4 linked regions of the Arabidopsis thaliana genome follow. The protein of the gene in region 1 interacts with the protein of each later gene in a pairwise test. Each region holds a gene or a part of one and is shown in the gene's direction. Other genes may lie near its edges.

Region 1 (6,603 bases):
TTAGAGGTGTCTCTGATTGGCCAGTAATGTTGTAATGGCATCATTCCTCGTACGTAAAAATCATAGAACATAGGTCTCACGTACAATGTCATTGAATCACATGCCATTATATATTTCTCACTCACTGACCATGCCCATCCTTCTATATAAATCTTGTACCTATTCCATCATTATCACACATTTAAAATCGAATCTTTGCAAATATTTCCTAAGTACAAAAAGTGTGGCTTAAGTTAAACCTGTGGGTGCATTGGTTCTCTAGGTTAGAGTTCTTGAATCCTTCTCTTGACTCTCTATCCCAATCCTTCACAATAATAAACATTTTTGATCATTTAGATTATTTAAAAATTGCAATATATAAAAATTATACATATTTTGAGAAATCCTAACCTGAATGTAGAGACGTGTGTTCCAATCTTCTTGAGCTGAGACATTACATCTGAGAAGATCTCTTCTAGTTGGAGCCACATTAGGGTTTCCTCTCCAATAAGCATACGCCACGCGGTCTTTCCATTGAGTCATCTTATTCCCTTCTTCTATCGCCACTAGCGATTTATCCCAAGGCTTTATATTAACCTCAGCCCTAGCCCAATAATAATATAATTAGCTAGGTCCAATAACAAGCCCATTAAATAGAGAACAGAATAGAATTAACATGTGTGTTAAGCCCTTACCAGCCCCAGAAGGACCAATCAGGGAAGACAATATCCAAGCTGGCGTCATCAGAGCAATAACGGAACAAAGGAGGCGGGGCCGGGTGTTGTTGACCTTGAAAGTCTTTAGATCGGACGGTTGGTCTATCATCTGGGTCAAACATGAGCTCAAGATCCGGTAACCTACCTGGGTACCACCGTAGTAACTGTACGATGCCCCACAGAGTAAAAACGTCTCTTGTTTGGATTGACTTTCTATATTTCTTAACGTACACTCTCCCGTCGAGGATTACTACTCTGAAATGCGCCGTCCTCCTGGCTTTCTCAAGCATCCCTCTCGTTACACCTGTCTCTTTCCATGGCCGTAGATCTTCGTGGATCCAACGGAAGTAAGAAGGACACGTGGATATTCTTGAATGGCTGCTTCTGGGTTTGTCGTTGTTTCTCGAGGAGCCATTTTGGGGAAATAATTGAGTTTGGTTCTGAACGACGCCGCATTGGTTAGGGAATCTTTGGCTTGTGATTGGTGATTTTCTGATACTAGTTGTTACCTGCTTCAGACCTGTAAAAGTTGTCTGAAGTACAGAGAGATATGAATTTATTAACTCTTCAAGTTCAAGATTCACTTGATTGAATAAAAAGTTTCTAAAAAAGAAGTTACTTCAGATTCGAACTCACGAAATCGAAACAACCCAATAAGTCTAAGAGACCAGCAGATATGAAGAGAGAGGTGACGAGGAACAGAGTAGCTTTAGCGATGCTTTTTGCTGGATGCGACGCCGTTTTAAGATAGACATACTTATTCTTGTTCGTTAGAAGATTGTTGTTGTTCCTCTTCATGCTTTTCCGTTGAAGCATGAATCTATATCTATCTCAGCTTTATATATATCTATGTTCACAAACATTCAACAGGAAGAGAAGAAAAACGAGAATCAGGTGAGATTAAACGTTACCGAAGCTAGGAGGAAGCTCAAAGGTTTGATTCTGGTGATCGATTGGTGCTCTTCCACGAGGATTTGAATCTTGTTTCACGTTATCTTCAACACTAACCAGAGTTCACATCTTTTGTGTTAATGACGTTCATATTTTTGTGTGAATCTTGTTTACTTTTTAGTTTTTCGAAGAGTTAAAATGTTTTTAAATATTAAATAGATAATATTTTATTAATTAGTAGGAGACATTTGGTCATCCATATTTGGTATTCCTATGCTCAAATCACATATGGACATTGATATGTGATACACAAATGTTTCCCAAATAATCGTCTCTTATTAACGTTGTATTTATTGGTAAATAACTAAATACAAGACCTTTGATGTTCTTAGAAAAATAATCTGCTTACTACAAAAATAAAACTGCAAGAGTTCAATTAATTAAAGTCCTCTTTGGGAAAGTTTGTTATAAGTGCTTTAAACTGAATAAAAGAATCCGAACTTCGAAGAAAGAAGAAAGAAGATAAACCTTAACCCATTAAATAAAGGTCAGTGACATCATAGTCCATATTCGACCACTCATCATCATACAAGACAGATAATTAATCGTAAATAATTCCATGTTGTAGAGTACTTTTTATTATTATACAAATACATTAATACATCTTTCACAGGCTGTTCGAAACTGTGAGTCTGTGATTAGTGATTAGCCTTAATTAATTTACTTTATTGCTTTGTTAGAAAAAAAATTACACCTTTCTTTAAATTAAAACAAGTTGGGCAGGAAATTTAAAAACCCGTTGGGCCATTAGGATTCACAAAAGCCCAACACCTACAAAAAGAGATGTCTCCATCTCATAGTCCATATACCACATGCTTAAACCAGTTTAAATTGCATATACCACGCGCCACATAACCGGAAAGTTTTGTACACGCGCGAGACACAGACATTATCCTTTTTGTATCTGTCTTCCAGCGTGTCGAGTCAGTGAGGCTCCACGTCACCCTTTGATCCACTTAAATTTTAAAACTAAAATAATTGTTTAAATGAATTCGAGTGATTGATATTTTATTATAGATTTAATACACACCCGACACTCTGTCAATTCTATAGGCATACGAGCTCACTCCAAATTTAGATTCAGTTTTTTAATACGAACTTTTTAGTTAAGCCAAGATTAGCAATAATATAGATCATTTATTTTCTTGATTGTAGTTTGATTGTTGTTTTTCTCATAATAAAAAAATCCCAGCTAAAATCTGATTTTCAATTTTAAACCAATTTATATGGTAAACAAAATTTTAGTTCGGTATAATTGGAAGAATTAAGTTTTGTTGAATATCAGGAAAAAAGAAGGGGAGGACAAATTTTCTACAGAGGTGACGTGGCATCATTGAACCACTTTACTTGTCGGCAGTGAGGTGTGTTTAATCACGTGTAACGCATCCAATGCGTATGAGAGCTTTACAGCCGCACGATCACATGGGTACAAAAATCAACGGCGAAGCAAAACAAGAGTCTCACACTTATTAAACGCGCGTAGTACGCTCCACCGGTATAAGCTAACGGAGGATATAAAAACTCTTTAACTCATTATTGTCCTAAAATCTCAATTTTATCCATTTTCACGGAAAAAACATAAAATCTGTTCTTCTTCTTCGGCTGAGAGACAATGGCGGAGGAGCAAAAGACGAGTAAGGTTGACGTAGAATCTCCGGCTGTTTTAGCTCCGGCGAAGGAACCGACTCCTGCTCCGGTGGAAGTCGCGGATGAGAAAATTCATAATCCACCTCCCGTCGAGTCCAAAGCTCTTGCCGTTGTAGAAAGTAAGCTTTCTATTTACATACGTGTGTGTTTTATATATGTTAATCTTCTACTTAGGAGGATTCATTCATGTTTACGATGAATTATTATAGTATGTAATTCAGAATTCTTACGTTTGGAACTAAGGTTTCAATTTACAATTAACAAATGGATTTTCTTAAGATGCCTAAGGTTTTTGTGAGTTCTTTTGCATATGACTTGGTCTATACTCTATTTGTTTAGGTGAAATCCATCGCTGTTAGAATTTACAACTTCATCATGGCATTTTCAAGAGAATTATGTTTTTCGAGGATGATATTATTAAAATATGATTAATAGTAAAGCAATGTTCCCTGTAATTAGTGTTATCAAAAAGTGTATGGAATCATGACAAATTAGTTGTGGACAGCTATGAATTAAGGAAAGTGGGTTACTTTCTTAATATTCCTACATTTTTTCCTTCCTTTAAAGTTGCTTAACTCTTGGAAAATAACAATTAAGTACTAACTTTCCAGCAGTTTTTATAATCCTTGAACATTCATTTGTTCATCTTTATTTACTATCTGTAATTCCTTCTGTGTGGAGTTTCGTTTTATAAACTACTATTTTGATGACCTTATTAGCCAATTAGAGCAACAAAATTTAACTTAGTTAAAAGTGAGCTTCTTGCAACAAATATCCATGTGTTATACTTATAAGTGTGCTTCTTGCAGAACCCATCGAGGAGCATACACCTAAGAAAGCTTCATCTGGTTCGGCCGATAGAGGTCAGCTGATAACAACACTTTGTTTCTCATGTCCAGTTTCTTAGTTACTTAGTTCAGTAATTTACTTCAAATGTGTGTTGTGTGTGTTTGGTCAGATGTGATACTTGCCGACTTGGAAAAAGAGAAGAAAACGTCATTCATCAAAGCATGGGAAGAGAGTGAGAAGTCAAAGGCTGAGAACAGGTAAACTTTCATCATCTTCTCACCCAAAGATTACTATTGCTTACAGATCTCTGATGATCTTGAAATGGACAGGGCACAAAAGAAGATCTCTGATGTGCATGCTTGGGAAAATAGCAAGAAAGCAGCCGTAGAAGCTCAACTTAGGAAGATCGAGGAAAAATTAGAGAAGAAAAAAGCGCAGTACGGTGAGAAAATGAAGAACAAAGTAGCTGCAATCCACAAGTTAGCAGAAGAGAAGAGAGCAATGGTTGAAGCTAAAAAAGGAGAAGAGCTTCTCAAAGCTGAAGAAATGGGTGCTAAGTATAGAGCCACTGGTGTAGTACCAAAGGCAACGTGTGGATGTTTCTAAGCCTTTATTGAATTTGTATCTTTGTAACAATTCATCTCTGTTTCTTTCTTCTTCTTTTGTTTTTGTGTGATTCAACAACTCTTTTTAGTTTTTGTTATTTGTTTGGTCGTTTGTGTCTTGTTTACATATTGGGTGATTGTGTGTAAAAGTGAAAGATTAATGGAGTATAATTGTATGAAGCATCAAATCTTGTTTTGCCTTTTGTTTCAGTTGTACGACTTCACATCTGATCTGTAACTCTTAAAATGCTAAGACACTTGACTTGACACACACCAACTATAATCCTTAAACAGTTCAGGCACAGGTGGAGATCTAAAAGCAATAAACAAGCGAATGAAGTTAAAATGTCTTCTTCGGTTTGATCTCACTACTCGGAAATTCCTCTCAAGTCTTCAAGATGAGAGAACATCAAAATGAAAAGGTGAAAAGGTTTCTAAGAACATGAAAATTAGAGATGAGAGAAGACAACTTTAAGGTTCATATCATGCAGCAGAAGAAGTCTTCAATTCAAACCAAATCAAGCCGGTACTGCTTTAAAGGTTTAGACACAATCAACCGCTTCCATCGCCATCAACCACCTATACTGTCTCTTCTTGCCTCAGTACAGTACTCTATGTGTTGCCTTCATCTCTAGAACGAGCTAGTGGCTGCCAAAGCTGAATGATTTGCCTCCTCACTACACCTAAATAACCGCAAACCAAAATCAATGGAAATTTGGTCTATGAGCAATGCAGGTTAGTTCTAATGTCAAGATGCCTAGAGAGGGATTTGTCTCACCGGTTAGTCCATCAATGCCTTGCCGGGTAGAGAATGTACACCAGGTAGAAGTTACTGACAGTAGATTGCCTTGTCGATAAGTGAAGGTATGGGCTTGATTTCAGTTCCAAGTTCTTGCTCTGTCTGATACCTGTTGGAAACCAAATAATTGAGTAAGAAAGCTATAGCATCTATGAAAAGAGAGGCCACACCAGTTGAGAAAAAGAAACACGAACATTTTGAAGCGGTCCTCATAAGTTACCAAATTCACAGCCAACCCAAGGTGTCCAAATCGTCCTGATCTGCCTACCTGGTAATATAATGAAGCAAAAACCCATTCACAATTTGAACAAATAAAACAGAGCAGGTTCTCAAGAAGATAAACCAAAATCGGCTTCCCTTAACATACCCTATGTAGATACGACTCAGAAGTCCTAGGAAAATCGAAATTTATCACCACATTCACAGCTTGAATGTCAATCCCACGTGTAAACAAATCTGCAACAGACAGACATTCCCCGTGAAACATAAACACATTTGTCAATGTTCAAGCACATGAAATACACAAAACGTACCAGTGCAAACAAGATTTCTGCATGCACCATTGCGGAAATCATGGAAAACCCTGTTCCGATGGTCTTGAACCATCTTTGCATGGATATAGAAGCATGAGTAACCAAGTTCTGTAATTTTCTTGGCCAACAGCTCAACACGATTAACAGAGTTGCAAAAGATAATGGATTGGTTTATTTGGAGCTGCAATAGATAAAACAATATTTCCTTTAAAAGATACATCAAGTAGCCAGAAAATAAAACATTGGGGTTTTAAGACTGTAACAAAACTCTGACCTTAGAGAATAGCGTGTTAAGGCAGTGCACCTTCTGTCTCTCTTCAACAAAAGCATAATATTGGGTAACACCCATAAGTGTGAGCTGATCCATGAGATTGATAATGTAAGGCTTCTTGAGATACCGATCCTTGAAAGACTTCACAGTGACAGGAAATGTAGCTGAAAACATCAAAATCTGCCGGCTCTCTGGCAAGAACTGTATCAACTCCTCTATAGAAGGTTGAAATTCTACAGACAAAAGCTTGTCGGCCTGAAAAAAGATGTTTGCGAGTTAAGACCATGAGCTCATGAGGAAAAGAAAATTATTC
Region 2 (8,460 bases), on another chromosome or scaffold:
ATTCTCGCCGGCCTTGACGTTGTGCTTCCTTGCGTACCTCTGGTTCCTCAGGAACTTAGGGTCCATCTGAAACATCATTTCACATAAACGCAATAATCAAACCTCCAACACTATAACCCGAATCTGAAATCAGTTAGGTTAGAACTGTAATAAGAGACTTACTCCTCTGGTTGGGGTGTGACGGTGTCTCCTTGGCTTCTTGATTCCGTTCTTGTGGGCTTTCGCCGACTGGTTATGCGCCGTGTGATTCTTCGACTTGGCCATCTCTGAGACACAAGACCACAATACAAACTATTCAATTGAATAACGAACGAAACAACAGGGGGAAATGAAGCCAGAGATCGGCCGTAGATATAAGAAAAGCTAACCTGAGTACTGAGAGAGAGAGGTAGATCTGCTCGGCTAGGTTTACTTTCCGCGATACAAATACGGCGTCTGCAACACAAAACCCTAATTTCTGATTGAATTTATAGTGGACTTTAAATGACCAACGTGCCCTAATAAATCATATATGGGCCTCTAATTAATCTATCTCGTTGCTAAATCATATAAGCCCATTGAATGAACCCAGAGTCGTGGCCTTTTACAAATTGGGGTATAAATAAAGCAGCAAACCATTTTTTTCAAAATTTGGAATTTCTTTGACTCAAGGAAGTGAAGAAGACGAGAGATAGAGAAGAAACCTTTCTGTTTCATCAGAAAAATGGACGATCAAGCTACTCTGGTAGAAGACACAGACAAACACGATGATGATAAAGAAGAAGAAGACTTGTGCAGGATTTGCCGATCACCGGAGGAACCAGGAAACCCCTTATGGTATCCGGTGCGCGTGTCGAGGCTCCATCAATGTTCATCAAGACTGTCTTCATATCTGGCTCAATCTCCGCGGATACAAGCAGTGCGAGGTTATTATACAAACCTCTTTTTCTCTAAAGAATGAGGTTCTTGTTCTATAGCGTTATGTGACAATTTCGTTTTCGATTAAACTTCAATTTCTGCGATTTTAGAAAGAATATCAAAGTTATTTACTAGTATTTTGTTATGAGTGATGTTTTTGGGGATTATATTTGTGTCATGGTGTTGGGATTTTCGATTTCTTCTCTGTTTCTTGTAATATGGGTTTAAGAAGAATCTCGCACACCAAATGTTTGATGAAATGCTCTCTGTTTTCATTGTAGGACGCTCCAGAGAGACTTCCAGTTCACGAGTTTCTAATACGTGTTTGTGTTAATGAGAGCATCACCTTACGTGAGAATGGTTGTTCCTTGGGCTATGGCGTTTATCTTGAACACATACTGCCTTTCTTTACATCCTTTGGGCCAAGAAGTTGTTGTTGGGTTCAAGAGAGATTATGGAATGTCTACCAAGTCCGCATGTTTCTTAAATGGCCTGTTATACAACGGTCATCTTGTGTTTTTCATGAGGATACCCATACACGAGCCCATTATCGCGAGACATCCTGCTGGGTTTCAGGCTGACATCTTGATTAAGAATGTCTTAGGAGATGGGTTTGTGCTTGTTTTATGGAAATATAACAAGATCGTTTGTGAGTGGTATTATTCTCTATTGCAAAGCTTCTTCGGGGAACCTCCTAGGCTAGTTGGTGTTGCTGTTCACGAACTTGGAGCCATTGGACGGCTGCTTTTCTTTCTGGATAACAAATCTTTTGATGTAAGTCTAATGTCCCTTCTAGTTCTCTTCCTTCGTCCACCCTATGTAACTTAATTACCATATGGAGCATGTTTTGAATAACAGGTTCTGTTTGTTATCTTATCTACAGGCTCTTACCATCAGCATATGTGTGTCTTTCTTCTTTATTCTTCTGCCGTTTTCTTTTCGCTGGATTGCAATAGCAATTGTAGGAGGTGGCGGTTTATTCGAAAACTCACCTGTCATTCTTGGATACATGATGACGCTGTCAATTCCCTTTGCCTACTTAGGAATTTTCCTCACTCTGCGTCAAATCTCGTTTCCAGCCATAGTCAGGTGGTTTTCCTTGGGATATCACTTCATAACAAAGAAACTGTCCTGCCTCCTGAGCAAAAATCTCGTTTCCTGTCAACTGTTTCGCGACTAAGGCATGGCGGGGAAAGTTCAAGAGAATCAGAAACGTGGGAATCAATAAGCTTCCTTCAATGTGGCTGCTTCAAGATGTGATTGGTTCGATCATAACCACACTTCTAGCCACACTCTGCATCCCTTACTTGCTCTTGAAGTCTTTGTTACCTCTGCTTGGATTTTCCCGTAGCGCCAACCCAGCTATTGAGCCGTTTATCTGGCCGGCGTTGTTAGCCTTGATTGCGGTCTGGTTCATGGCCAAGCAAACTTATGATCTCGTCAGTTACTTTCATAGGTTGGTCTTCGATGATCGGTATGTAGTCGGTTAAAGAGTGGACAATCTGACTGAGGATATCTCGCTAGAGAGAAATAACTAATCCATATATGACAAACAACGACTTTTCATTGGAAAGGAAAAAATGTATAAACACAAACGTAGATTCAAAACTCAAAAAGTTATATAGTAACCAAGGTCTATATACGTTAATATTAAGATAATCGCAGTCCACTTGTAAGTCATGAAAACAAAAGGATCTTCAAATTGTTGAGATATAAAGAAGAATACATTAGCTTGCCTCAAAGAACACAATAGTAAGGGGCTAATTATGTAAATAACCTAATTGTGGACACCTGTTTGCATAAATAAATAGTGGCAAAACTGTAAATAAGTGAATATTTTAGCAATTACAGTATAAATTAAGAACAAAGATTAAAAATAAATAAAAAAGTGCTTTCATTCTTTGGATGCGCTGTTGTCAACTTGTCCCTCGCTGCCTCTGCTTCTTAACTCTTTCTTTATCACTTTTCCACTCCCAAATCAATTTTTAGGTTTTTTTTATAATTATAATTTATTTGCTCTCGGCAGGATCTATATAATACACAGACCAGTCTTTGCGTGTGCTTGTGTGCATTCATTGATCGGGTTTATATCTTTTCATCGGATTTTCTTTGTCGAGCAAGAGCCATGTCACTGAGACCCAACGCTAAGACGGAGGTTCGCCGGAACCGATACAAAGTTGCAGTGGATGCGGAGGAAGGACGACGGAGGAGAGAAGACAACATGGTTGAGATCCGTAAAAGCAAGCGTGAGGAGAGTTTGATGAAGAAGAGACGTGAAGGTATGCAAGCTCTTCAGGGTTTCCCTTCAGCTTCCGCCGCCTCCGTCGATAAGAAGGTACAATTCTGGTTTTTAGATGATTCGATTGTACTCCTTGTTGTCGGTTTTCTAGGTTTTTGTTTGTGATTTTCATGTCGGCTTACTGAGGTTTTAGGGTTTCGTTTTTGGGTTCTGGTTACGGTAGTTGTCTTGTGATTGATTGGCTTTAAAAAAACATTTGTAGTTGGATAGTCTGAAGGATATGGTCGCTGGGGTTTGGTCCGATGACCCTGCCTTGCAGCTTGAGTCCACTACTCAGTTCAGGAAGCTTCTCTCTATTGGTAATTCCTTTTCTTAATTCTCTTTTATTTCCCGTTTTGATATAATTTGGAGTGTCCCCTTTAACTTTTGTCTCTCTGTCTCTATTATAATTGCATAGAGAGAAGTCCTCCAATCGAGGAAGTGATAAGTGCTGGTGTTGTTCCTAGGTTTGTTGAGTTTCTTAAGAAAGAAGATTACCCCGCCATTCAGGTGAGATAATTAATGTCTCTTATTGATTCATTCTTCACTGTAATCTTCTCTTCTCATCTTTTATGATTTTTATTTTAGTTTGAGGCAGCTTGGGCTCTAACAAACATTGCATCTGGAACATCGGATCACACTAAGGTTGTAATCGATCACAATGCTGTTCCAATCTTTGTTCAGCTTCTTGCTTCCCCTAGCGATGATGTTCGTGAACAGGTATGGAACTTCTGATGACTACAGAATGTCTTCTCATTTATTATGAGAGATTATGCAATTGAAAATTTTGTGAAACCCTGATCTTAAGATTTCGCTCTAACCTGCAGGCTGTATGGGCTTTGGGTAACGTTGCTGGTGATTCACCACGGTGCCGTGATCTTGTTCTTGGATGTGGGGCACTGCTTCCGCTGCTCAATCAGCTTAATGAGCATGCTAAATTGTCCATGCTTCGAAATGCCACTTGGACCTTGTCAAACTTCTGTCGTGGCAAGCCTCAGCCTCACTTTGACCAGGTCTATTTTTTTCCCCTCCAAGCTTGTTTCGTCAATGTTTATGTCTAGTATTCTTCTAACATATGAAGCATGTTTAACAGGTCAAACCTGCTCTTCCCGCCCTTGAACGACTAATTCATTCAGATGATGAAGAAGTCTTGACAGATGCCTGTTGGGCTCTTTCTTACCTCTCTGATGGGACCAATGACAAAATCCAGACTGTCATCCAGGCCGGTGTTGTCCCAAAACTTGTTGAACTTCTCCTGTCAGTACCATTTTATAATTCCCTTATTTCATGTCCACTTCACACATTTGTTGACAAATAACTTGATACCTTGCTCTTGATTTTTAGCCATCATTCTCCATCTGTGCTAATTCCTGCTCTTCGCACTGTTGGAAATATAGTTACTGGAGATGATATACAAACACAGGTATGGATCTAAATCCTGTCTATTGAATTTCTCACAGTATTTCGGTTTTGCACATTGTATATGATAGTATATATTTTTCCTACTATGCCAAAGAATATCTTTGTGGTTATGCAATTCTTTGGCCTTTAGGAATAGGTCTGAAGATACCACTAGAACTTTTCATTAATTGAACCGATAGCAAAAACATGTCGAAGTTAGTGATATACCATGCATATCATCTAATCCAAGACTGGTAATTGCGATGAGGTGTTGTTCAAATGTATGGCACCCTGTTGCTATTATTCATATCCAACATTTTATGTGAAAAATGGGAGTATTGAATGCTTATCATGAGATTCTCCCTCTGTTGCCACTCTGTCCATATTAGCAGATAGGATGCAGTGCCTTTTTTGCTATATATTGCTTGTGTTTGAGTTTTGTTACAATTAATTCTTGTTTTAAAGTTTAAACCAACAACATGCACAAATTTTTTGCTTGGTGAAATTTGGTTTTTCATGAGTTTAGCAAAGGTGATTTTTCTATATCTGAAATAGTTTACATCGTTTTACTTGGAAATCTGATTTTACTTCTTCTCCAGTGCGTGATCAATAGTGGTGCTCTACCTTGTCTTGCCAACCTGCTCACTCAAAACCATAAGAAAAGCATAAAGAAGGAAGCTTGCTGGACGATTTCAAACATCACAGCAGGCAACAAAGATCAGATCCAGGTAGGCAATTAGTACTGTTTCATCATATGTTTTGTACCGTTTCCCATCCAGACTTCTATACCTATTCATTAATTGTGTTGTTTTTCCCCTGATGGTTGCAGACGGTAGTTGAGGCTAATTTGATTTCCCCGTTGGTGAGTCTGCTTCAAAATGCTGAATTTGACATTAAGAAGGAAGCTGCATGGGCAATTTCAAATGCAACTTCAGGTGGTTCTCATGATCAAATAAAGTATGTCACTGTCTTTTTTGCGTTCCTCTAACTTCCAGTTTCTTCTCTCATATATATACTTTGTGTATATATATATTGATGTTCTGTTCCCGTTGGTTATACAGATACCTGGTGGAGCAAGGGTGCATAAAACCATTATGCGATCTCCTGGTTTGCCCAGATCCAAGAATCATAACTGTCTGCCTTGAAGGATTGGAAAACATTTTGAAGGTGGGAGAGGCAGAGAAGAACTTGGGTCACACAGGAGACATGAACTATTACGCTCAGCTGATTGATGATGCAGAAGGGCTAGAAAAGATCGAGAACCTTCAGAGCCATGACAACAATGAGATCTATGAGAAGGCTGTTAAAATTCTGGAGACATACTGGCTTGAAGAGGAAGATGATGAGACACAGCAACCTCCAGGTGTTGATGGTTCTCAGGCTGGGTTCCAGTTTGGAGGGAATCAAGCTCCAGTACCATCCGGAGGATTCAACTTCAGCTGAAGGTAAATAAAAGTAAAAATTCTTAAATTTCTAACAACGTCTCTTGATGAAAACATGCAAAATCTGATATTTAGATCAATATAAACCCACAGGAATGGAATTGGAAGCTTGCAACTTGAGAATGGTGAAAGGTCAGAGTCAGTCAGAGTCTAGTTTCACTGCCATGGTTATACTCCAGGTCTGGTCTGGTCTGGTCTCAGAGGTTTGTACCGGGTGGTCGGTTTAAAAGTACAGCGTCTGAGAAAGTGTTTGGTTCATTGTCCAGGGCTATTTTTTTGAAATGACTGGTACACCGGTCGTGAGTCGACCTTTGTGTTGTTTTTAAATTTTGGAGGGTTATAAAAACTTACAGTGGAGTCTTTTGTTTTTGTGTTGACAACAGTTTGTATGTCGGTTAAAAAATTGAAACCATAAACCCTTTATTGGTCTTAATATGTTTGGTGTCTGATTTCCTAAGGAAAGGTTTTTTTTTTTTTGGTCAAACCTAAGGAAGGGTTTATCTTCGAGTTATAAAGACTCGAATCTTTATTTGAATTATGAAGTAAAGTATACATAAAACAGCAATAAATTATTATGAATTTGACTTTACCTGAGCAAGTAAATTGTAAAAAGACAAGAACTAATGAACTATTAGTATATGTCCAGTTCAATTGCCTTATCGTCTAAAACCCCTCAAAAGCTAAAACTGAAATCATTTTGAAGCAGAAATCGATTTCCAAAATGGCTCTTGTTCAATCCAGAACTTTTCCACACCTCAACACTCCGTTATCGCCGATTCTATCCTCCCTCCATGCTCCGTCTTCTCTCTTTATCCGGAGGGAAATCCGACCGGTAGCCGCGCCGTTCTCCTCCTCCACCGCCGGAAACTTGCCCTTCTCGCCGTTGACGCGTCCGCGAAAGCTTCTCTGTCCTCCGCCTCGCGGCAAGTTTGTCAGAGAAGATTATCTTGTGGTACGGACAATTTCTCGCTTTCTCTCACGCTCCAAACAACATATTTTGTCGATTTCAAAAAATTTCATGTTTGTTTTCGTTTTACGACTTCCTTTTTCGCCTTTCTGGGAAATTAAGTTGGCTGGGCATAGATGTAGTTATTATATAAGAACGATATATGGTAGTTCTATCAAAGATTCGACCAGTACACTGTTAAATACTTCAGAATAGAGATTTGCTTAATTTGAATCTTATGAATGACTCTTGTTGATACCATCATGTGGAAGCCTCACTGATTTCTGGATGTTTTTTGTTCCTTTTCTTATGGTTTGACAGAAGAAATTGTCAGCTCAAGAACTTCAGGAACTGGTGAAAGGAGATAGGAAGGTGCCGTTGATTGTTGATTTTTATGCGACATGGTGTGGACCTTGTATCTTGATGGCCCAGGAACTAGAAATGGTACCATGGATTCTCATAACTCAACTTTCTTACACATTCTCCATTTCACTTGCTTCATGTGTAGACTCTAGAATGCTTATATATTTCCAAACGTTGGCTCTTGGAACCCGGTTGTTCGTTATAATATACTTGAATCTTGAAATGTGATGGTATATTACTGTTAAGTCTAGTGCAGTACTATTGTAACTTGCATAGGAGTTGGGCAGTGCATTATAGCTTTGGTAGCTCATCAACAAATCTTTACAGTTTACTGAGATCTTAATGTTTAAAGAGGGGCTATGAAAATGTATTGGGGGCACTCTGGATTTGTCTTGGGTCTTGGTTTGGCAATTGACTAGAGTTGAAAGACCGCTCTCATTAATCAAGTCTCTTCTATGGTTTAGTTCTTTTGGTGAATTAGATAAAGGAGTTAAACAGTTCCAATCTTACGACTGTTTCTCCCATACTTTATGACAAAGATACCTTGTCGCGTAGTTGGCATGTCTACAAATTCAAAAGAAATGTGTGAGATAGGAGAATCTAAGCATCTTCTTATTGATTGGCTTTATCTACTTGCTTTTTCACTCATGACACTCGTGTTAAATAGTTTTTGCTCATTGTGAAACAGCTTGCAGTAGAGTATGAGAGCAATGCAATAATCGTGAAAGTTGATACAGATGATGAGTACGAGTTTGCACGCGACATGCAGGTATACTGTAACTTGCAGCTTATGTTTTTAAATTTCATGAATCTCCTCTCAGCATATCAATGTAAATTCTTACATTAACCAACTCTTGTGATACAGGTTCGAGGGTTACCTACATTATTCTTCATCAGTCCTGACCCAAGCAAAGATGCAATCAGGACAGAAGGGCTAATTCCGTTACAGATGATGCACGATATCATTGACAACGAGATGTGAAGTTTTTACTGAGAAAACACTTTTGTACTCTTTATGATTTGATTAGAATCGCCGTAATTTAGGATTGGTACCGTGTTGTTTGCATTTGAGATGTGGTAAGAATGTCTTCTAGTTTCATAGATGAAGAATGTAGTCTTAAGACATTTGTTTG
Region 3 (6,045 bases), on another chromosome or scaffold:
TCGTCTACCATTTCTTTCCCTCCACACAGTGTATAGAGTCGCTTGGAAGGCATAGCGAACGAGGAAGTGGTCCACGCGGTGTGGCTGAGCATGAGCGAGGTGGTCCATTATCGAGGTCCAGTTGGAAGTATATCTCGATTTGAGAATTCCCTTTACAAGCGCTGCCCAAACTGCTGAAGTGTATCCACAATCAAAGAAAAGGTGTTCCCGGGTTTCGAGGTTACCTTGACAGAGAATGCAGTCCGTTGTAACGTCTCCCGACCATTTAACCATGCGATCTCCTGTTGATAGCCTTCTATGGACTGCAAGCCAAGTACAAAAAGCGTATTTCGGGGTTGCATGATCTTAATCATCATTTTCATATCATGTTTTGTAGAACTCTTAAATTGGACTATCTCGATCTCTACCTAATCCACTGGCCGGTTAGCTCGAAACCTGGTAAATACAAGTTCCCTATAGAAGAAGATGACTTTTTGCCAATGGATTATGAAACAGTTTGGTCTGAGATGGAAGAGTGTCAGAGACTCGGAGTTGCAAAGTGTATAGGAGTAAGCAACTTCTCATGCAAGAAACTCCAACACATCCTTTCAATAGCAAAAATCCCACCTAGTGTCAATCAAGTATATTTAAAATTCTCTCTTATTTAATTTATCAAATAAGTTCAACCTTTTTTTTATAAGAAAATATTGGATTGGTGAAATAATTTGAAACATTTGTTTGTGGATAATGTGAAAAAGGTGGAGATGAGTCCAGTATGGCAACAGAGAAAACTGAGGGAGTTATGTAAGTCGAAAGGCATTGTTGTGACAGCTTATTCGGTGTTGGGATCGAGAGGAGCGTTTTGGGGAACTCACAAAATCATGGAGTCTGATGTTCTCAAAGAAATTGCTGAGGCAAAGGGAAAAACAGTAGCTCAGGTACTCTCCAAAGACAGTTTTAAAATTATTTACGAAAACATTTTTAAATTTCTTTTAACGTATAAATATTAAAAAAAACAGTCGTAATTTAAAGGAAAATTTTGTTAATTACAGAAAATATTTTAACAAATCGGTAAACAAAAGTCATTGTTATATTCATTTGAAAATTAGTTTTATTTTTATTGTGATAATGGCTAAAACTATCTTTATGCGATATTTAATTTTGGACTATTGACTTATTTATTTGTTTGATACATTTTTATATTGTGCACTCACTCTCGTTGACCCAAAAAAAAAAAAAAAAAAAACTCACTCTTTAAACGGGTAATAGAGTGATGTGGAGAAGTTTTGGGGAATGAAAGTATTTAAAGCTCATTTTTAGAGTTGTAATAGACAATTGACTAGGTGAGTATGAGATGGGCTTACGAGGAAGGAGTGAGCATGGTGGTGAAGAGCTTTAGGAAAGACAGATTGGAAGAGAATCTGAAGATATTTGATTGGTCTTTGACAGAGGAGGAGAAACAGAGAATCTCGACGGAGATTTCTCAGAGCAGGATCGTTGACGGAGAGGTTTACATCTCGGAGAAAGGTCCTATAAAATCTGTCACCGAGATGTGGGACGGTGAGATCTGATCACTATGTGTGAATTATGGGGCAGTTGTAATATAATGTCTTGATTATTTAGTTTGTAAAGTTGCATTAATTTGTTTTGTTAAGTTGCATTTCCAATGTATAACCTTCATAAATGTTGTAGTTGTAAAATAAATGTCTTGATTATTTAGTTTGTAAAGTTGCATTTCTAATTTATAACCTTGAGAAATGTTTCTTCTTATTTTTTTCTTTTGTGAATATGCAAGTCTTTTAAGAGCAATTTTGAGTTTGAAATGTTTCTCCTTTTCTTTTATCTTTTTTTTTTTTTTTTTAATATTTAAGCTTCTTTCAAAGCATGTTACATGGACCCCAAAATCTTTAAACATCTAAATTAATCACATAATGATATGTACAATATCTTGTGAAAAACCTCTGTTCATCATTGCGATAAAGTCTTTCTGAACGGGATTTCTGATAGAAAACGAAAGCTTGATTTTGGATTTTATGTTTCTTTCACTTTGTCTATAAACCTTTTTATTTACTTGTTATGGTTTTGGTCATCATATTTTATGATGGTCTAAGAGTTTGTATTTATAAGTGGAGACAAGACATAGCTATGCATTAGATTTTTCTTCAAATTAAGCTCAAGGGTCCATCAAAATAGAGAGAAGAAAATAAAAATCATTTTCTGAACATAGTAAATGTGTTTTTAACAACAACAACAACAACAACAAAAGCATAGTACATGTGAGAAACAAAAAGACGAATTTGAACATTAAATCAGTAACATACATACCAAACAACCCTTGTTATGGGTTTGGTTGGTAATCCAAGTATATCTATTTAGTACCAATCCTAAAAGTAAGAAGAAGCAAAACCGGTACTTTCTATCTATATCTTATCATGAACTTCGAATTTATCTTTCTTTACCTATTCAGATTAGTTCGCTATTTCTTGCTGCCCCCATCCCAAAAAAGAAAAAAAGGTACGTACCGTTTTGTGTCATTAATCGTCACTTGGAATAAGAAAATATTTTGTAAAAGAAATGAAGTAGAAAATGATCCACCTATAAAAAGATTTGATATAGAAGAGTATAACAACGAAAATATAAAACAAAGTAGAGAGGAACTAGTAGCAATATCTCTCTTCTATCTTTTCATTTCCTACTCTTTTCTCACTATGGCCAAAGACGGTGGCGTTTCTTGTCTACGAAGGTCGGAGATGATCGGTATAGGAATCGGAGAACTTGAATCTCCGCCGCTAGATTCTGATCAAGTCCACGTTCTCGCCGTTGATGACAGCCTAGTTGATCGAATAGTCATCGAAAGATTGCTTCGAATCACATCCTGCAAAGGTTTCTTAACTAGTAATTCTTCCTCTTTCCCCTTTAACATTTTAAAAGCCTTATTCTCCGGCGATGATTCAATGCAGTCACGGCGGTTGATAGCGGATGGCGTGCTCTCGAATTCTTAGGATTAGACGACGACAAAGCCGCCGTCGAATTCGATGTAATCTCTCATAACTCTGTTTTAAAACATTTTGAGATTCTAGATTCTGATCTTGATCTTTATTTTTACCAGAGATTGAAGGTGGATTTGATCATCACTGATTACTGTATGCCTGGAATGACTGGATACGAGCTTCTGAAAAAGATTAAGGTTTCTGAAATTTTCCCGCCATAAAAACAAATTCTGTTACTTTTTTTTTTTTTCAATTCTTGATTTTCTTAAAAAACAGGAATCGACAAGTTTTAAGGAAGTTCCTGTTGTAATTATGTCGTCGGAGAATGTAATGACTCGTATCGACAGGTCAAATCTCTCGCCGGAATCTTTTTTTTTTGATTCCGATTTTGGTGATCGGAAATTTAATCAATAAATCTGTTGTAGATGTCTTGAAGAAGGTGCGGAGGATTTTTTACTAAAACCGGTGAAACTCGCCGACGTGAAACGTCTGAGGAGTTACTTGACGAGAGACGTTAAAGTCGCCGCCGAAGGAAACAAACGGAAGCTGACCACTCCACCGCCGCCGCCTCCGCTCTCAGCCACATCCTCGATGGAATCTTCGGACTCTACGGTGGAATCGCCTCTGTCTATGGTTGACGATGAAGATTCGTTGACAATGTCGCCGGAGTCTGCAACTTCGCTTGTGGATTCGCCGATGAGGAGTCCCGGATTAGCTTAGAGAGATCCGTGTGATAACGATCTCCGTTAACTTTTTACTTTTGACGGTTTTATTGACTGCAACGTTGACTTGAACGCCGTCAGTTTATACTTATAGATCTCTCTCTCTCTTTTTATATCGTTGCACGTGGGGTCTCTTTGCTCACGAAGGAACTTTTATAAAAACAAGTATTGTATTTATTTAATTACGTATATTTGATAATTTTAAAATTAAATAATGTTTCTATTTCTAATAATATCATAATAATCAAATAATGTGTGACAGTTTACCTCTGTGTATTCATATCGTCTGCTAATCACTTTTGAGATTTTGCCAGCGATTAGCATTTATTTGATAGTATGATATCCAATAATGTACCGACTTGAGGATACTTTTCTTTAATCTATAGTCTTTGATATTAAGAACCAAATCTTGTATTATTATGATATATTTTTGAAAATGTACTCTCAAATATTCCGCATGGCTTCTATGAATATTTTCAACTACTTACTCTAGCTACCACTAATTTTTGTGTGATAACTGTCTATTAGAGAAGACTACACAAAATAGTAATAAAATCATTTGCAAACTACACATACTATTGAAACTCGGCTTGTAATATTTACACCTATAATAACTAACAACTTATGTTGAACATGTTGGTGGTCTTTTTAATTTTAATCATTGAATAGGTAGTGGCTAAGTTGGTGACTACGACCACATATTTCACAATCACATGTCGCTAAACCATGACCATGTGGTCACGCATGCATGGCTACGAATTAGAAATGAAAACGGTTGAATAACCATGGTATTATGGGGATTAATTATGATTCATATGAATCATATCTAACTCAAGGTTATGTGGTCATGCATGGCTACAAATTAGAAGAAATAAAATGTTGTCCAAATACATGTAATCATGGGGATTATGGATTCATATCTAATCTTAGGAGGTCTACTAAAAACATTAAGTATACATTTTAGCTCCTAATCACTCACAAACTCATATCTTTGATTCACACCACGACCACAATATCTATTTAAAAAGAGGATGCATATAATATTTTGAACTTTCTTCAGAATGAAGGATCAAATCGAATAATATAATAACGTACGGCATTATTATATTAGCAAGACCCTTACATTACCCATTGGAACTTAGAAGGAGGCACTGGATATTAAAGAAAATTGATAGGCAAATGCAATGAATCAAAATCAAATAATCATTGTAGACAACAGAATCAGCTCAAAGATACTCCCCACGTTTGGCGTACTAAACATGTGATTATTCTACTTTTATCTTCTTCTCATTTTGATTTCTGTTTTTGTCCCCTTAAGGTACGGCCAATTATTCTTCTACAATTTTTTAATTGGGGTTCTATACAGAACATGCAAAACAAAAAACAGTGAATGACATTTTTCTTAGTAACTTGTAAAAGTACTTTAAATGAGATTTAGGCAAAGTTTCTCTTTATTCTTTAGAATGTCGTAACTTATGTTTCCAAAACAAAATTTCCCAACTTTTATAAGCATTCGAATTTTTATATTTTGGTTTTGAGTTTTGACTAAAAAAGCAGAAAATGCGGTACATTCCACTTGCCTCTATTCCCTCTGTTTTTAAATAGTAGTTTCTCTACATAAAAAAAAACTGATTAAACATATATGAAGTTTTTAGGTTTTTTATGCAACTAGTTATTATTGATGTATTGTAAATTTCAAGAAAAATAATTGAATATATTTGGTTTAGAATTATATTAAAATGTAAATCACAAAATGATATATTTATAATCAACTTTTAATATGTATGAAAATTCTCAAAAATCCATTACTTAGAAACAAAGAGAGTATTTACATTCAACTTTTGTTTTGTTTAGTTTGAGTATTTTTAGATTATTGTTATTTTATTTTTTTGTAAAAGTTTATTTACTACTTAATACATATAACATGACAGCGTACATGATTTGTTTGAGCGTACAAAAAAAAAAAAAAAAAGGCATGTTTAGTCATGTTACAAAGAAACTATACCTCCCTTCAAGACTGGACACACTAGGCGCAGAGATAGATATATTACAAGACTATCGAAGTTTTCTTTTGAGAAAACTGTTTTGAAGGTAGTCAAGAATGCACTAGAGCCTGATGAGTACAAGAAATTGAAGGAATCATTCTAGGTTAAAATCTAGTTTATTTGTAAAACTTTTATAGGCTTAAGTAACGAACATGTTAAGTTTTTGTTTTACTTAATGAAAACTTTTCTTCAAAGCACTTAAATGTACATTTTATATTCATGACAAGATCACTCGTAGAGACGAAAAAAAAAAAAAAAAAGACAAGATCACTCGTAGTTTCCGTAATATAGTGCAAATCTTAATGTTTA
Region 4 (8,185 bases), on another chromosome or scaffold:
GAGATAAAGGTATAGTGCTGATCATTGTTACCTTTCTCACATTTTCTCACTCTTTCTTTTACTCTTGGTCCAATTCAATGTTTAATTATCTTAGATCTGAAGGAACTGAGAAAAATCTTTATTTTGTATGGAATGATAGGTTCAATATCCGAGTAATACAGATTGGGGTTCTGCGGACAATTCAGGGTAAGTACTCATCTTCTGTTACCTTCTAAGCTTTTCCTTAAAGAAGTCATGGCTATTTCAAACTGACTCCATGTATTTCTGCAGTTTAATTGAAGCTGGACCTAGCAGTTCCTCAGCATCACTTAATGGTGATTCTCAAGAAGTCTCAACACTGAACTCTGTGCTCTCCTTAGATGATGGTCGATGGCAGCGTCATTCTGAGGCAGTAAATTCCCAGTTTATTAGCGACGCAACTGAAGACCCGTTTCAGTTTGTCGGTATGAAGCAACCTTCCCCTCCTCCCGTGCTTGCTCAAGTGCATCAAGAGTTAGCCCAAATTTGCCCATCTAAAGTAGCTGATCCTAGACCAGGACCTGCAATTCCTTCCCTAGAAGGAAAAGAGGGCAGCAATTCTTATCAGCATTTGCATGTGGTATGTTCCAGCTGTATCTTCTTTCACTTTTGTGCAGTTTCCACCAATTCCATAGTGTTTGTGAGAGTAAAGTGGAAGGGATATGCATATCAAGTAGAAAATTATCCATGATTAGTCTAATTATTTGGTATGTGTTCAAGAATCAACACATTAAATCATCGAAGTATTGGATTCATGACCATTACAGCTTCTTAAAAGCTTGCTAGAATCGGTTCTGGAAATCTTTCTCTTTCACCTCTTCTTAATCTACTACTAATGTTGTCACCCTTTATTTAAATTTGCTGAAGCCTGTGCGCATAATGGATGATTTCCTAAGGCTAGCTCGGTCAAACACAGAACGGAATTTAGAAACTTGTGGAGTACTTGCTGGTTCTCTGGTGAGTAGATGGAACCTTTGCATTTATAATTTTTGATTCCAATATCATGATCAGCTCGCCATTACTTATATTCTGTCTATTTGCCATGTTTACAGAAAAACAGGGTTTTTCATATCACTACTCTCATAATCCCAAAGCAGGAGTCTACCTCAGATTCTGTATGTTCTTCATTTTTCTTAACCATTTACATCAATAACAATCTTTTTAATTCTCGCTGGTATGCTTCTCACACTTAGGTTCATCATCATTTGGGTAATGTACAGTGCCAAACACTAAACGAGAAGAAATATTCGAGTACAGGACAGACTCTCTCTATTTCCCTTGGGTTGGATTCATGTAAGTTCTCTCACCCGAACTAAAAAATCTTCCATTTCCAGATAATGACTTACCAAAACGTTACTCAGAACAATTGTGAATCCATATATCCACTAGTTGATAAGCTTTATCGATTCGTCTTGCTAATTTACATTTTGGTTTCAGACACACCCTACACAAACTTGCTTCATGTCATCAGTTGATCTACACACACACTACTCGTATCAGGTAACAAACTCCCCTTATCAATATCTCTATGTTAATCACTTATGATGCGATTATAGTAAAACCATCATCTATATCTATTGTCCCAGATAATGCTACCGGAGGCGGTGGCAATCGTAATGGCACCAACAGACGAATCAACACCTCATGGAATATTCCATCTCTCTGATCCATCAGGCGTATCTGTGATCCGAAACTGCCAGCAACGAGGCTTCCACCCACACGAAGAATCAGAAGACGGTAACCCAATCTACGAGCATTGCTCACACGTCTTCCTCAATGCCAAACTCAAATATGAAGTCCTCGATCTCCGCTAAAAGCCAACCTCCATCACCATGTTATTATTTTTCCTGGAGTCTTAACTTTAAAGAGACATTAAAAAGACCTCAGAGATCAGATGTCTCAGCCGTACATATATGTGTATACTTCTTAAAAAAACCTTCTCTTTAAAGTTCCAAACTTGGCTGAGCCGTCTTAAGTAATGATGATTGTGTTTATTTATAACGAGTACACTTTTAAATTCGTATGCACCATTTCACAAAGCCAGATGTTTGATTAAAAAAACATAAGTATTTTTTTCTGACGATTTTTTCATTTAAATTAAAATTCATTATAGTCTGTGGGAAAGACCTGATACCATGAAAGTTGAGGTGAAAATCTGTTATTAGCTTTCATCAGATAAGAACGGAGAGAGAATAACAGATTTTCACCTCCTAGATAATGCTACCAGAGGTACTTGCAATCGTTATGGCTCCAACAGACGAATCTACCCCAATATATGAGCATTGCTCATACGTCTTCCTCAACGTCAAACTCAAATGCGAAGTTCTCTACTCTAAACTTTCTTAAACGAATATAATATACTTTTAAAATTACTTTCACAAAACCAAGTTTTGCCAAAAAAAAAACTGTATTTTATTTTAAATTAAATTTAGTCGGTGCGAAAAGACTAATGAATAAACAAGTCAACTTAAGTAAATTAATGGTCTCTGTATCGAATCTTAAAATTTAGATTTACCAAAATGTTTTTGTAAACCAACGAAATTCAATCTTTCTCTCTGTGCCTTTTTTCCTCTTTTCTCGTTCCCCTCTACTTCATTTAGGGTTTATCATCCTCTACCAATCCGCCGATTCTATACATACACTTTTCATATATATACATACATCGTCTCCACTCTCGTTGGCTCATTTTTCATTCACCGCCACGAAGCAAGAGGAGATTCGTATTAGCCACCATGTCTTTGAGACCTAACGCTAAGACTGAGGTTCGCCGGAACCGCTACAAAGTGGCGGTGGATGCTGAGGAAGGAAGACGGAGGAGAGAGGACAACATGGTCGAGATCCGTAAGAGTAAGCGTGAAGAAAGCTTACAGAAGAAGCGTCGTGAAGGCCTTCAAGCTAATCAGCTACCTCAATTCGCTCCTTCTCCTGTTCCTGCTTCATCAACTGTTGAGAAGAAGGTAATATTACTAGCGATCTGGAACCGTTTCCTAGGATTTGATTGGTTTAGATCGATTCGATTTTGATTTTGGTTTTGGTTTTGGCTAGTTGGAGAGTTTGCCTGCTATGGTTGGTGGTGTTTGGTCAGATGATAGAAGTTTACAGCTTGAAGCGACTACTCAGTTCCGGAAATTGCTTTCTATTGAGCGTAGTCCTCCGATTGAAGAAGTGATTGATGCTGGTGTTGTGCCTCGGTTTGTGGAATTTCTCACTAGAGAGGATTATCCACAGCTTCAGGTTTGGTGGATCGTTATGTATCTGTCATATTTTGCTAGAATTGTCTTCTGATACTAATTACTTGTGTGTGTGTGTGTGATTTCAGTTTGAGGCTGCTTGGGCATTGACAAACATTGCTTCTGGGACTTCAGAGAATACAAAGGTGGTCATTGAACATGGTGCTGTTCCGATTTTTGTTCAACTATTGGCTTCTCAGAGTGATGATGTCCGTGAGCAGGTAAGATATGTGTTTATGGTTTTTTCTCATGACTCAATATACTGTCAATTTTGTTTGTTTTCGGGAACAAGCATGTTCTAAAGCTTGTTTGTTTCTTAATCTTTTCATGTGTAAGGCTGTGTGGGCATTAGGGAATGTTGCTGGTGATTCTCCACGGTGCAGAGATCTTGTCCTTGGTCAAGGAGCTTTGATACCATTACTCTCTCAGTTGAATGAGCATGCTAAACTCTCGATGCTGAGAAATGCTACTTGGACCCTCTCTAATTTCTGCAGGGGCAAGCCACAGCCTCCCTTTGACCAGGTTTGTCTCTCATTCCTATCTTAATCTCTGCCCAAAGATGAAGGAGTTTTTCTTTTTAATTCTTGTGATCTCTTAATAACAGGTCCGTCCAGCACTCCCAGCCCTTGAACGCCTGATTCATTCGACTGATGAGGAAGTGTTAACGGATGCATGTTGGGCTCTCTCTTACCTTTCCGATGGCACAAATGACAAAATCCAATCTGTCATTGAGGCAGGTGTTGTTCCTCGACTCGTCGAGCTTCTCCAGTGAGTTTCAAATCCCATGATTTCACCGTGCTTTTGTATAATGAATGTTATGTGTTAATGAATATTATCAATTTTATTTTGCTGTAGGCATCAATCACCATCTGTGCTTATTCCTGCCCTTCGTAGTATTGGTAACATTGTCACTGGAGATGATCTGCAGACACAGGTATGTTTGTTCTTTTATAGTGTCATTCATTCATATTATTCAGGATACATGGTCCAATACTGATGGGAAGAATGAAATACACTGGCTAGAAAGCTGAATCTGAGTTTGTTGATAATGACATTTAGTTGTCAAAAGTTACTTGTCAAATTCTTCCTAGATGAATCTCTAGAATGGGAACTGTCAATTCTTCCCAGATTTTATTTCCCCCCCTGCATGTTTTTTACCCTAGTTATGCAATACCTAACATTCCTTTTGAATAGTTAGACTAATTTAAGGCAGTATGTATAATACTCTTAAGAATCTCACACATGTACCATTCCTCACTTATTTTGCTTTCTTTTTTGGTTGGTTCTACAGTGTGTAATTAGTCATGGTGCACTTCTTAGCCTTTTGAGCCTTCTGACTCACAATCATAAGAAGAGCATCAAAAAGGAAGCTTGCTGGACAATCTCAAATATCACTGCTGGAAACAGGGACCAGATTCAGGTGAACTTTTGCTAAAGATTGTTGTTTCTGCTCAGCTTATCAGTTTCTCATAAACTAATCACTAATGTTGGAAGACATGTTTCAGAAGCCTTTTTGTTGTTTGAAGAAAGATGTTCTGTGTGTTTATGTTCTCTAATATTGTTGTGGTATTGCAGGCTGTGTGTGAAGCTGGTTTGATTTGCCCTCTTGTCAATCTGCTTCAAAATGCGGAGTTTGATATAAAGAAAGAAGCTGCGTGGGCAATATCAAATGCCACTTCAGGTGGTTCTCCTGACCAAATCAAGTAAGATTATCCGATATAAACTCCATGTTCTGTTGATCTCAACTCCTTTAGAATCTTTGTTGGTTATTTTTCAAACAGTCAATTAAGTTATTCCGTTGTGTGTTTTAGGTACATGGTGGAACAGGGAGTCGTGAAACCACTGTGTGATCTTTTGGTGTGCCCTGATCCAAGGATTATCACTGTGTGTCTGGAAGGATTGGAGAACATTTTGAAAGTTGGGGAAGCTGAAAAGGTCACAGGAAATACCGGGGATGTAAACTTTTATGCACAGCTGATCGATGATGCTGAGGGATTAGAAAAGATTGAGAATCTGCAGAGTCATGACAACAGCGAAATCTATGAGAAGGCAGTGAAGATTCTTGAAACGTACTGGTTGGAAGAGGAAGATGAAACTTTACCACCTGGTGATCCCTCTGCACAAGGCTTCCAGTTTGGAGGAGGTAATGATGCAGCCGTACCACCAGGTGGATTCAACTTCCAGTGAAGGTAAAAAAACCTCACTACTTGGGACTAATTTATCTAAGCATCTAAGGCTAGACTAGCAAACAGAGTAAATCTGCCTGTGTGTCTACCTTGTGTGAATCTGTGAGTCTGGTTTTGCTTCCACAGGAGCTGAACATGACGATTTGAAGAGTCGAAGGAGCTTAAAGAGTTTGGGGGCACTGGTTAAAAAGGGTATGATTAGAGAGTCTGGTCTTCTGTGTAAAAGTCAGATGGGGTGCCTTACTTAGTCTGGCCTGGTCCGGTCAGATCCAGTGGTTGGTGGGTTTGAGTCATGGAATAAGCTTGTTGGGGGGGAGTTGGGTAGGAGTCATCAAGGGATATTTATTTTTGGGAAAGGGTTTATAAGTTTTTAAAGTGTGATCTGATGAGAATGTGTCTCTCTGGGTTTTTGTTACATTTGTACTACACAACACTGCAAAGTCAAACATAAAAAAGTTGGTCAAACTTTATTTGGTCTTATTGGTGACATAAAAGCCCAATTGGTTCGTCTCTTTATTGTTTATAGTAAATGTTTTTTTTTATAATCTATTTTAGTGCGGTCCAAGTCATTTTGGGCTATTGTCTACATATGCACGCGTATCTAGTTTCAACATATTTCCATTAATCGATGTTATTAATGGTTATCGTCAACTTCAAGTAGGGAGGGTTTCAATAATAAAAAAATCCTATGTTTTGTTCAATCCCTGTCGTTTATAAGCGTAGGTATGCCTTGGACCCAAAAGAACTCAAATATTCATAAGTCGATTACACAAATTTAAATAAGATGAAATTGACCAAAAAGAGAGATGTTTTGTAATTTTCATACAAAAAAAGTTGCACTACACGAGCATGTCTTCGATATACCTAATATTATTACATAAATTTTTCGTATTTCATTGTGAAGAATTACACAAAATATCTAAAAGACTGGTAAAAAATGCATGCATATCTCTAAGCCCAATTAGGGAAATCTAACGTGGCAAACAACCACAACGAGTAAATCCAATGTATTTCGTGCGCCAGGTTTTGAATTAAAATTTCAAATTTGGTACCAAAGCAAGCAAGATACCAAAAAACCCCCTTCCACAAGATCTTTGTTACAAGTTGTTGTTGTAAAATGATTTTCCCTCTTCTTTTTTCAGTTTGTGGTTGTTTTATTTTTTGGCGGGTGGTTCTATAGTAATAAAACACCGCGCTCGAGGGTAAAAAAGTAATTAAGAAAGAGAAATCTAGGGTTTATTAGTCCCCGCCTCCTCCTTTATTATAAAAACCCTCTCCGTTTGTTTTATCCGTTATTCTTCTGCGGCGTCTCTCTCTCTTCCTTATCATCATCATCTTCACTCTAAACTTCACAGAGAGCCATTCAAGCAGAAGAAGAGCTCTTTGATCCTTCTCTGCCATTTCCGTTACTCTCCTTTCTTCTGTTTCAGAGTTTTCTATTCTTCTCAATCCTATCTCGCTTCGAAGTGGATCAATGTGAGTTTCCATGATCGTTTTTGATCCTTCTCTTACTTGTAGTTGATGATCACGTTTAATAATTGTCTTTTTCTTTTGTAGATGTCAATGACGGAAGAAACCAAGACGACGAAGCTCGAATCGGCGGGAGATTCGTCCGATGTAGACAACGGGAACTGTAGTAGCAGTGGAAGTGGAGGTGATACGAAGAAGACATGCGTTGATTGCGGAACAAGCAGGACTCCTCTTTGGCGTGGTGGACCTGCTGGCCCTAAAGTAAGGATCATGATCTCTCTCTACCATTTTCTTTTAAACCCTTAAAAATCCAAGCTTTAAGGTCTCATGTGTTAGATCTAGTCAAATAGGTACTTGAATCCACTTAAAATGTAGGTTGATCTTGTGTGCTTAGCTCTGTTGCTAGTGGGTTTTGTCTCATTGATGTGATCATGTGTATACATAGTCTAGGTATGCGAGGTTTGTGTCAATCTGTGGTTGATATTTAAATTTGTTATGTGATCTCTATGTTTTGTTTTGATTCTGTGTTTGAAGCCTTATTACTAATTGATCAGGTTAAGATTATTGTTACACTGTTTTTATGATGCCTTTTTTACTAAGAGATGGTTATGTCTCTTTAATTTTAGATCTGTTTGATGATTGTTCACTATTTGTTCTCTGGTCTGATCATGGATTGACTTTGTTTGCAGTCATTGTGCAATGCGTGTGGTATCAAGAGCAGAAAGAAGAGACAAGCAGCTCTTGGAATTAGACAAGATGATATTAAAATCAAGAGCAAAAGTAATAACAATCTTGGTCTTGAGAGCCGAAATGTCAAGACCGGAAAAGGCGAACCAGTTAATGTTAAGATTGCCAAATGTGAACCGGGAATTGTCAAGATTGCCAAAGGTGAACCAGGAAATGTCAAGAACAAAATCAAGAGAGATCCTGAGAATTCCAGTAGCAGCAATAATAACAAGAAGAACGTGAAAAGGGTTGGTAGATTTTTGGATTTTGGGTTTAAGGTACCGGCGATGAAGAGATCGGCTGTGGAGAAGAAGAGGCTATGGAGGAAACTTGGGGAAGAGGAACGAGCCGCAGTACTTCTCATGGCTCTTTCTTGTGGTTGAGATTTTGTCTCTTAACCCTTTTTTTTTGATGTGTCGTAATGGTTGAGTGAAAGAGATTAGGGAAAATAAGTTAGTGAGGAAATGATGAAGAGAGGATTATTAATCCTACTTATCATATATATTAGTTAATGTAATTTTAGAGGCAAGCTAATGTTATATGCCATCTACTAAT

The links.
Region 2: the proteins of AT2G45820 (region 1) and IMPA-1 interact in a two-hybrid assay, tested with the Arabidopsis thaliana proteins (one study listed by BioGRID).
Region 3: the proteins of AT2G45820 (region 1) and ARR3 interact in a two-hybrid assay, tested with the Arabidopsis thaliana proteins (one study listed by BioGRID).
Region 4: the proteins of AT2G45820 (region 1) and IMPA-2 interact in a two-hybrid assay, tested with the Arabidopsis thaliana proteins (one study listed by BioGRID).

What each region holds. Positions count from the first base shown.
Region 1 is NC_003071.7:18,861,232-18,867,834, reverse strand, and holds AT2G45820 (Remorin family protein), read left to right. Parts: upstream 1-3,093; 5' UTR 3,094-3,258; coding exon 3,259-3,412; intron 3,413-4,102; coding exon 4,103-4,156; intron 4,157-4,251; coding exon 4,252-4,339; intron 4,340-4,411; coding exon 4,412-4,688; 3' UTR 4,689-4,882; downstream 4,883-6,603. Other genes in the region: DTA2 (downstream target of AGL15 2), read right to left, coding at 1-159, 240-304, 391-583, 675-1,228, 1,332-1,511; AT2G45810 (DEA(D/H)-box RNA helicase family protein), read right to left, coding at 5,517-5,595, 5,681-5,754, 5,854-5,942, 6,020-6,200, 6,294-6,545. UniProt on the Arabidopsis thaliana protein: Exhibits a non sequence-specific DNA-binding activity.
Region 2 is NC_003074.8:2,117,537-2,125,996, forward strand, and holds IMPA-1 (importin alpha), read left to right. Parts: upstream 1-2,807; 5' UTR 2,808-3,022; coding exon 3,023-3,232; intron 3,233-3,398; coding exon 3,399-3,495; intron 3,496-3,593; coding exon 3,594-3,685; intron 3,686-3,763; coding exon 3,764-3,895; intron 3,896-4,002; coding exon 4,003-4,188; intron 4,189-4,268; coding exon 4,269-4,432; intron 4,433-4,519; coding exon 4,520-4,598; intron 4,599-5,175; coding exon 5,176-5,304; intron 5,305-5,405; coding exon 5,406-5,533; intron 5,534-5,637; coding exon 5,638-6,019; 3' UTR 6,020-6,021; exon of another isoform or gene 6,022-6,031; intron 6,032-6,111; 3' UTR 6,112-6,630; downstream 6,631-8,460. Other genes in the region: AT3G06700 (Ribosomal L29e protein family), read right to left, coding at 1-66, 163-264; AT3G06710 (E3 ubiquitin ligase), read left to right, coding at 1,231-1,671, 1,781-2,077; TRX z (Thioredoxin z), read left to right, coding at 6,740-6,970, 7,286-7,408, 8,016-8,096, 8,193-8,309. UniProt on the Arabidopsis thaliana protein: Binds to conventional NLS motifs with high affinity in the absence of an importin beta subunit. Mediates nuclear protein import across the nuclear envelope in vitro in the absence of exogenously added importin beta subunit.
Region 3 is NC_003070.9:22,063,538-22,069,582, reverse strand, and holds ARR3 (response regulator 3), read left to right. Parts: upstream 1-2,349; 5' UTR 2,350-2,411; coding exon 2,412-2,862; intron 2,863-2,939; coding exon 2,940-3,016; intron 3,017-3,088; coding exon 3,089-3,166; intron 3,167-3,245; coding exon 3,246-3,316; intron 3,317-3,394; coding exon 3,395-3,689; 3' UTR 3,690-3,966; downstream 3,967-6,045. Other genes in the region: AT1G59950 (NAD(P)-linked oxidoreductase superfamily protein), read left to right, coding at 377-620, 738-917, 1,323-1,550. UniProt on the Arabidopsis thaliana protein: Functions as a response regulator involved in His-to-Asp phosphorelay signal transduction system. Phosphorylation of the Asp residue in the receiver domain activates the ability of the protein to promote the transcription of target genes.
Region 4 is NC_003075.7:9,131,700-9,139,884, reverse strand, and holds IMPA-2 (importin alpha), read left to right. Parts: upstream 1-2,469; 5' UTR 2,470-2,750; coding exon 2,751-2,975; intron 2,976-3,063; coding exon 3,064-3,252; intron 3,253-3,337; coding exon 3,338-3,469; intron 3,470-3,584; coding exon 3,585-3,770; intron 3,771-3,852; coding exon 3,853-4,016; intron 4,017-4,103; coding exon 4,104-4,182; intron 4,183-4,539; coding exon 4,540-4,668; intron 4,669-4,823; coding exon 4,824-4,951; intron 4,952-5,059; coding exon 5,060-5,435; 3' UTR 5,436-5,437; exon of another isoform or gene 5,438-5,560; 3' UTR 5,561-6,135; downstream 6,136-8,185. Other genes in the region: AT4G16141 (GATA type zinc finger transcription factor family protein), read left to right, coding at 6,992-7,165, 7,594-8,013.